2 linked regions of the Ovis aries genome follow. The protein of the gene in region 1 interacts with the protein of each later gene in a pairwise test. Links are inferred from orthologs where the notes say so. Each region holds a gene or a part of one and is shown in the gene's direction. Other genes may lie near its edges. The genes, in order: ITSN2 and SYNJ2.

Region 1 (4,579 bases):
AACTGGTGATGTCCGTCATGGGAATAAGACCATGTGCTCAAGAGTGCTGTCTGTAGCTTGGGTGGTTTGTTTGCAGACTGATTGGTCCCCAGCAGATACAGGATAGACTGACTGGTCTCTAGTAGATAAATGACTTCCTAGGCTAACGCAAGGAAGTCAGGTTTTTCTGTGTCACTGACTCAGGACCTGTCTATCAAGTCTAAGTCAGGTCCAAATCAAAGAGTTAGGAAAAACATCGAATGTGAGAGCGGGAAAAGCCTGTTTATCATTACTGATGTTTGCTAAGTTCCTCACAGGAGTTGCCTGTCTAGTTCAGATAGGCCTGGTCTCCGGAGTCACACCTCTTAAGTCCGCTGGCTACATTTACATGCCCCAACGTGTAAGAATGAAAGGAAGACATGGGATCTTTTGCTCTGCACAGATTTCTCCTTTCCCAACAAGTCATGGTGTATGAATTTTGTACATGGGTCCATCCTACACTCCACGTGTAAAGCCAACAAAAATCTTGGGTCTTGAACCCCGACTTTGTTATGCCCATAGGAACCACCGATGCCACCTCTAACCTCAAATAACAAAAAGCCTTTCTCTTTAAGGAGTGCTGTGTCAAGGGCAAGCCCCCCATAAATGGTGGTGACTTGAGTTATTTAGTCTTTTGTGAAGAGACTAGGAGCTGAAAGGGGAGAAAAAACAGATGCTGAATTTGAGCTTCACCTGTCAGGCGGCTCTCAGGTGGGGAAGAAAGTTCAGCAAGGGGGTGGGGGGCCGCAGGTCGTGGAATTCACTGAGAGATGACTATCTTCTTACTGCTTGGCCAGAGTATTCGAGGTAGATGCCCTGCGTGTGGATGGGGGCTGGAAGGCTCCTTTCTTTTCCTTTTTTATTTGTTATAGTGAGGGACGCTGAATGGACGACTGTTGCTGCTGCCGCTGCTAAGTCACTTAAGTCGTGTCCGGCTCTGTGCGACCCCATAGATGGCAGCCCACCAGGCTCCCCTCATCCCTGGGATTCTCCAGGCAAGAACACTGGAGTGGGTTGCCATTTCCTTCTTCAATGCATAAAAGTGAAAAGTGAAAGTGAAGTCACTCAGTCGTATCCGACTCTTACGACCCCATGGACTGCAGCCTACCAGGCTCCTCCGTCCACAGGATTTTCCAGGCAAGAGTACTGGAGTGGGGTGCCATTGCCTTCTCCGGGACGACTGTTAGGTACGACGAAAGTGAGTCCTTCTGGGGTATTTGAAGGAAAGGCCCGTAACACACCCATGAGCAAAGGTGGGAATAACCTATGCCCGCCCCATCCCCATTCCAGGGGACTTGAGCTCCCAGGTGAGAGGGCTCCAGGGAGAACCCCACAGGGACTTGGGGTGGGGCGCCTGCATCAGGGACGTGCTGGACACCCCTTGCCCCTCTTCCGAAACCTTGGGGTCTGCGGTGGCAGGAAACGCATCACCCAACCCCAACATGTCACCTCGGGGAGGAGGAGCCAGGTGGGTCGGCACCCCTCCAGGAAGGGCTGCCGGGTCCAGGGCTTCAGGGCCTCCCCGAGGGAAGAGACGAGCATGTGGACCAGGCCCGCGGGGTCCGCGGCCTCGGGACTTCGGGGGTGATGAGCCGCACCCGGGCCAATTTCGGGTTCCCAAGGGAGTACGAGTCGGTGCCCGCCAGCGGGCGGGCGGGCCGTCAACTGCCCGGCCCGTCGCCTCCCTCCCCGCCCCCCGGCTTCCTGCGGAGGCCGTGGCCGCCATGTTGTGGGGCTGAGGCGGCGCCGCGGAGCCCGAGCGGCCGTGACAGGCTGCGCAACAGGTTCGCTGTCGGCGGCCTGACGACGAAGCAGGCGCGGCGGCGGCGGCTGCCGAGCAGGTCTCCCGGCATCCGCCCGCGCCCGCGCCGCTGGTGCCGAGGGGCGCAGGGTCGCGCTGTGACGTGCGGGAGGCGCGGCGGGCGCGCCAGGTGGGTGAAGCGGCTGCCCGGGCTGCGGCAGGGCGCGGGGCAGGTGCGGGCGCTACCGCGTCCGCCGCGGGGAGGCTCGCGGGTCGGGCTGGGAGGCGGCTGCGCGCCCCGCATGACGCGGAAGGGCCCTCGGGAGCCCCGGAGGCCCCCGAACTAGGCCCCTGGCAGTCTTGGCGGCGCCGGGCGGAAACCTCCGGCCCCGGGTTCCTGCCCCCGCGGCGCGGCCAGGGCGGACAGCCAGGAGCCGGGGCCGGGCTGCCTCTTCCCCGCGGCCAAACCCTGGACCCCGGCCGCGGCCTCTTCTGGCAGGTGCGGACGCGGCGGCGGGCCCCCTCGCTTTCGGGGTGTGGGCAGAAGCGAGCCAGCCCTGAGGTGCACCCGCCCGCTTCCTCGGGGCCCCATTTTATTTTCACAGAGTTGGTTTTCCTCCTTGGCAATGGTTGGTGCGGAATGTCAGGTGAGCCGCATCCCAGTGCGTCAAAGTAGCCCGAGTCACGAGAGGCCAGTGGGCGGATGCTCTGAGTCTGCCGCTCTCATTAAACCAAAGTTGGGAAATGTTACAATTTGAGTTCAGCGTTATTGACTTCTAGGGTATACAGGAAGCACGGAGAGCTGTAATCTCTTGGACCAGAGTAAAAGTTGATTGCTTTTATAATTCTTTTTGAAGACGCCTGCATGTGTATAGTGAATGGGTAAACCGAGGCTGAAATGCAGATGGCTGTGCATTTTGTAAAAAGATGATGTATTTGGATTTATTAATCCTGTGCGTTATAGTCGAGTGATTGCTGATGGCAAGTATGCTTCACTTGAGACTTGTATTAATTAGGAATATTTTTGATATAATACTTTGTGATAGGAATTAAACTTAACACAAAAATGTTTGCTTTGCTAAATGCACTAGTTTGTTTTTGCTAGGGTTTACTTGCTTACCCAGAAATAGGCGAATGTGCCTTGAAATTTTGTGTTGTCCTAGTCAGCTTGATTTAGGTAGCATAGACTCCAGGTTAAGCTTCTTAAGCCTCTTAAGAAAAGTAATTGCCTCTCTGCCTGTGCTGCTTTGCTATGTTGTTAATCAGTGGTAAAACCTAAATACAATCTAGAAACATCACGCAAACCCCTTACATAAATTAATAATGACGTCTCTCAAAATTTAAAGATAGTAGCAATTTTGATGTGCTAGGTTTCTTTGGCTGTGCCTACGATTCCCTTGTAATTTATTTCCTCCAGCTTTATTGAGATATGCTTGGCATATATTCCTTATTACTTCAAAAGTAGGTAAGGTGAAAGTTATTTCTAAAAGCTTCATTTAAGGACAAACAGAATTTTGTGTTTTTTTTGGAGGCCATGGAAAAAAATGTGCATGGCTGCTGATTTAATGTAGTAGTAATGAGCCTCACGAAAGCTTGCATTTTTTAAAATACTTTAATGCATGTAATTGTTTTTTTGCTTACCTTTATAACAAGAAATTGTTTGAGAAAACTTGACCTGTACTGAATTATTGAGGAGGGAGGTACTGTTGTTAGTTCAGCATATCTCATGGCTAAAATCCAGATCTCACTAGAATATGAGAAAATGTGTTATACAATTGCTGGGAATAGAATTATAGTTTTTAAAAATTTTGTATTTTCACGAAATCTGAATAGTAAAAGGAACTTCTATACATCCATCACCCAAACTCAGCAGCTTTCAAGACCTTCTTTGCCCATCTCTTTCTTCCTTTATTTTTTTCACTCTATAGACTTACCGTATCTCTTTTTTAAAGTGTAAATTTTCTTACATAACCTTAAGGTTTTTATCTTTAATGCAGAGTTTCAAAATTTCTATCTAGTAAGACAAAAAGACCATTTATTGGGTATCTACTTCAGCTACTTTCCTCAGTATTAAAATATATTTACCATTTTTGTCATTTATTGAACACTTACTGCCTCCCAGGCTCTGTGTTGTGTTATATAATCATTTAGGCTCACAGAGATCCAATGAGTAGTTCTTTCCCACCCATCAAATAGATAAGTGAAATGTTAACCTAGAGGTTAACAGAGCTTCTTTAGGTTAACTGAGTTACTCTAGGTCACTGAGCTAGTAAGCCAGGTTTCAAACCAAGATTCTTCTAACTTCAGCACCTGTTCCTTAACTGGTACATTCATCTTGGTCCAGAAATTTAAACAAAAGGTTATTTGGGCATTCAGTATTTGTTGAGTAAATGAATGAAAGTTTTGATACGTATTATTCCATCAATAAGTAGCATTTTTATGTACTATATTTACTTGTAAAGCATTAACAAGTTCCAGAAATGATTCAGAATAAGCTAATTACCTTACTCAAAATATGGTGGTATCTTATTACCATACAACAGTGCGTGTGCCTGTTTTTCTTTTTTTATATTCTGGTATTTTCAGTACCTTATTTATGGAAAAATGTATGGAATAACTATTAATATTTATGAAGAAAGGCTAAAAATAGGCAGACATTTTTGTGTGCCAATTGTTAAAGGCTGGATTCCAAGTGTGAAGTATAAAAATAATGTTTAGGATTAGTTCTGTAAAAGAATAGTCCTATAGATGAAGCTGCATCAGAAACGCTGTATTTTTTACTTGAGTTTATTTTTTACTTTTTACCATTCTCTACCTACA
Region 2 (4,343 bases), on another chromosome or scaffold:
TCCTTGGCACTGGGCACCTTACTTCTTCTGGAACATGCCTGATATATAAACTACTTGACCCACAGGCTTCTTTCTCCGTGTGAGCAGAATAGGGGTGAGAGAGGAATCACCTGGATTCGGGGTCCGATGAGAACACCCGGATGAGGTCTGGAGCCGATGTACACACACCTACTATAGAAAAAGGAAATGAAACCCCCAAACCCACCCAAAGGATGACTCCAGGTAAGCCCTCTCCCCTGGACTCCTCTCCCCTGCAGACCAGTCCCAACACCCGGGCTAAAAACCCAGTGCCAAGAGGGGCATACTTCCTGTTCCTTAGCTGCCAGTCATTCTAGATGGGCCATGTGTCCTAATGGGGGATGCACGGATACATGCTGGTGTCCATATGCCTGCGTACATTCTGGCTGATTGAAGTATCCGCCATGAAGTCAAGGGCGGTACACTCAGCAGAGTGGGAGGAGGGGTTGCAAGGCGGAGGGAAAAGGCCCTTCACTCTCACTCCTGCAACCATCAGCACCTCACAGTTTGCCCTGCTTGTCACTCCCAGAGTGTTCAGCTCCTCTGAATGATGACTCCACGCCCATCCTGCAAGCCTCTGGGGCAGGTACTCTCACCATCTGATAAGAGAGAAAAGCAGGTTCAGAGAAGTCAAGGTCCCACGGTAAGCGGCAGGTCCAGAGATGAGGGGCTCAGTGTCTCAGAGATAACCCACCTTTGACTCCTGGCTACCCAAATTCTGCCTGGTGTGGACAGTGGGCCGCAGGATCCTCTGAACAGAAAGGTAGTAAAAGGCACCATGGATGGAGCACTTTCCGCTCCTCAGGCGTGCACCAAGCCCTTTGTACGGATTAACTCCATCCTCCCCTGCAACGTTATGAAGCAAGTACACTTCCTAATCCCGCTTTACATTTTAGGGCCACTGAGTCACAGAGGACAGGCGACTCGCCCAAGGTCGCAGAAGCAGGCCAGAGAGGGAGGCACAGCGCCCTGGACGGGGCTGGGGAGGACTCCGGAGTGCTGCGGAGGTCCCGGGCCGGGCAGTTTCTAGCCTAGTGGCGCCGGCCAGGCCCCGGCGGGCCCATATAAGGCCGCGGGGCGTCCAGTAACGTTGCAGGAGCTTCAGGGCGCCCCGCCGACGGCAGCCTCCTCCGCGTCCAGGAATGTGTGGAATCTTCCTCCTCGGCTGCCGCCCACCGCGGGAGCACTTCCCCTCCGCTCCCGGCCCCCATCAGGCCCCCGATCTTGCCCGAAGCTCGCCCCCTACCCACCCACCCAGCCGCGGCCCGGCCGCTGGGGGGAGCGCGGCGCATCGGCGGAGCGGACCGGGCGGCGGGGAGGCGGCCGCGCGCCCTCACCTGCCCGGGGCGGCGCGCGCGGGCGCGGCGGAGGCGGGCCGGTCGGAGGCCGCGGAACCGGCAGGGAGGAGCCTGCGCCTGGCCCGCGGCGGGGACGCAAAGTGAAACTCCTGGAAGTTGCGGGCGCTCGGGGAGCCGCGCCGGGCCGCGCGCCGATGGCTCTGAGCAAGGCGCTGCGGCTGCTCCGGCGGCTGGAGGCCTCCGGGGAAAGCAGCGTCCTGCTGGAGGCGCGCGGCCGCAGGGACTGCCTGCTCTTCGAGGCCGGCACGGTGGCCACGCTCGGTGAGTGCGGCAGGCGGTGCTGCCCGGGACTCCCGGGCAGGCGACTCCGCAGCGGCGCGGGGGGCTCGGGCCGCTTCCCCCGTCCCCTTCCCCGGGGGGGAGGTGCCCGCTGGGGAGGGCGCCTGCCTCTTCTGCTGAGACCGAGGCATACGGGCACCTCCCTTCCCCGCGTAGAGCGGTCCCGGGGGCGCGGAGGCGGCCGAGGACTGGGGGTCGCACGCGCGGGGTGGCCGGTAAGGGCCTGTTTGAATGAAGTGGCGCCGGCACGCCTCAGAGCACGTGCGGCTGCGCCCCCGGACCCAGGCTGCCCGCGGTCCCCCCTTGGGGTCTGCCATCCGCGCGCCTGCCGGCGGGCGGGTCACTCGCGAAGAGCCGCCTCTGGATTCTTCTGCCCCGCGCTCCCCCGGGACGCGTTCCAGATTCGTGACCATCCGGGAGGGTTGACTTAGGAGCCGGCCTGACCGAGCGCTTGGCGCTGTTTCTCTTTGGCACCTGTTGATGAAACACGGAATGCCCACTGCTCTGGGATGGCCTCCTTCGCTCTTGGAGGGGATGGGGACAAAGCACCGTTAACCCAGACGCCGGATAAACAGCTGATGGCACCTTGGCCTCAACCAACTGCTTGGTTGAGAAGCGTCATTCCCACAAAGTATAGAATTTGGAGGCAAATACGCGACTGGATGACTCTGTACTGGCTGTATTTGATTTTGGTGTTGCTGTTTACTCGGTCGTGTCCGACTCCTTGTGACCCCTTGGACTATAGCCCACCAGGCTCCTCTGTCCATGGAAATTCCCAGGCAAGAGTAATAGAGTGGGTTGCCATTTGCTTCTCCAGGGGAATCGTCCTAACCCAGGGATATTATGCTTGTCTCCCCATTGCAGGCAGATTCTTTACCGCTGAGCCACCAGGGAAGCCTGGATTTGACCTTAGGTAGTTGCCAAGTCTGTGTATTTCAACTCTGTCAAGACCAGCAAGTCTTGACCCTGACATTGTGTCAAGGGCTTTAGAGACGATCTCATTTAATTTTCACAGTTCTGGGCTATTATAGTGTCCATATTATAGAGAAGTAATCTGAGGCCTGGAGAGGATAAGAAACTTGCTTGGCCAGGGTGACAGATAGCACTCCCTGACTTCCAGTGGCTGTTTCTGTATTGGTGTACAGAGTGTGGCTTCTTGGAATCACCAGCCATTGGGCTTCTTGTTTGGTGTCTTAACATTCACGAGGAAGGCCAGATAATACCGACATGAGCGAAAGAAGGAAGGATTGTTGGAACTTCGACCTGAACACTGGAGAACAGGCTTACGTCTCTTGTCCAGTGGCACCGTCTCCCTTGTTGGTAGCTAAACACAGAGCGGAGAGGAGGGTCTCTACTCCTTTAGGAGGATAACCAGTGCACTTACCCCCACCACACTTTATAATTGACTCTAGTCTTTTTTTCACATTGTGCACTACATTCTTCAGTTAAATTCTTCAGTATACATCTTGGAAGGACCATCTCTTCTGTTTCCACTTCCTTAATCATTTTATTAACATACGGTTATCTGGCTTGTTTCCAGTCACTCGGTTACTAAAACCATGTCTCCAGTAGTGTCAGCACCATAAGCTGTGCAGTAAATCGTGGATTAAATTGTTATCAGATTATTTCAATTTGTACTCTAGCCTGAAAAGTCCAAGTTTGGTCATTTGCTAAGGTCTGGGGGAAAAAAAAAATTACAGAAATTTCCATTCCATTTTAAATGTCTACTTCATACCACATTTGTCAGAGCTGAGAGATTAATTGCATGGTACAAAACTACCGCTTCATCAAAGAGAGTAAAATATTTGTCGGTTGGATTACAGCAACCTTAAGAGAGTTCCTGTATTAAATTATTTAAGAGTTCCTTTGAAGCCACTGGGCTTCCCAGGTGGCACTAGAGGTAAAAAACCGCCTGCCAGTCCAGGAGATGTAAGAGGTTGGGGTTCAATACCTGGGTTGGGAAGATCTCCTGGAGAAGGAAATGGCAACCCACTCCAGTATTTTTGCCTAGAAAATCCCACGGACAAAAGGAGCCCGGTGGGCTATGGTTCATAGTGTCACAAAGAGTTGGACATGACTGAAGTGACTTAGTGCATTGTTGAAGCCACTAGGATAAAAAAGACTTTATTTTTTCAAAAGCGAAGATTTTAAAATGATTGATGAAAGTGGTATAATGCATATTTTCCATTTGGAAATTAGGCTTTTGGGCTGAAATCATGTATATTATGCTGGTGGTTACAATTCTCTGGATTCTGAAACAGGAAGTAGTGAAAGGAAGGGGTGTGGCCTCAGCTCACGTGTAGCCCACATTTGTCACCTAACCTGGCATCCATTTTTCAGTGGACTTTGGCCTGAATGCTTAATTTTTGAAGTCTTTTTTGTGTTAGTCACTCAGTCGTGTCCGATTCTCTGTGACCCCGTGGACTGTAATCTGCCAGGCTCCTCTGTCCCTGGAATTCTCCAGGCAAGAATACTGGAGTGGGTTGCCATTCCCTTCTCCAGGGGATCTTCCCCACCCAGGGATCAAACCCAGTTCTCCTACATTGCAGGCAGATTCTTCACTGTCTGAGCCACCAGGGAAGACCTTTTCTTACATTCAGTTCAGTCTCTCAGTTGTGTCCGACTCTTTGCGACCCCATGATTTGCAGCACTCCAGGCCTCCCTGTCCATCACCAACTCCCGTCTATC

What was found.
Region 2: the proteins of ITSN2 (region 1) and SYNJ2 interact in a two-hybrid assay, tested with the Homo sapiens proteins (2 studies listed by BioGRID and IntAct). The link is inferred for Ovis aries from reciprocal best matches to the Homo sapiens genes ITSN2 and SYNJ2.

What each region holds. Positions count from the first base shown.
Region 1 is NC_056056.1:31,934,598-31,939,176, reverse strand, and holds the start of ITSN2 (intersectin-2), read left to right. Parts: upstream 1-1,724; 5' UTR 1,725-1,949; exon of another isoform or gene 1,950-2,258; intron 2,259-2,362; exon of another isoform or gene 2,363-2,406; intron 2,407-2,515; exon of another isoform or gene 2,516-2,740; intron 2,741-4,579.
Region 2 is NC_056061.1:82,289,923-82,294,265, forward strand, and holds the start of SYNJ2 (synaptojanin-2), read left to right. Parts: upstream 1-1,453; 5' UTR 1,454-1,510; coding exon 1,511-1,637; intron 1,638-4,343. UniProt on the Homo sapiens protein: Inositol 5-phosphatase which may be involved in distinct membrane trafficking and signal transduction pathways. May mediate the inhibitory effect of Rac1 on endocytosis.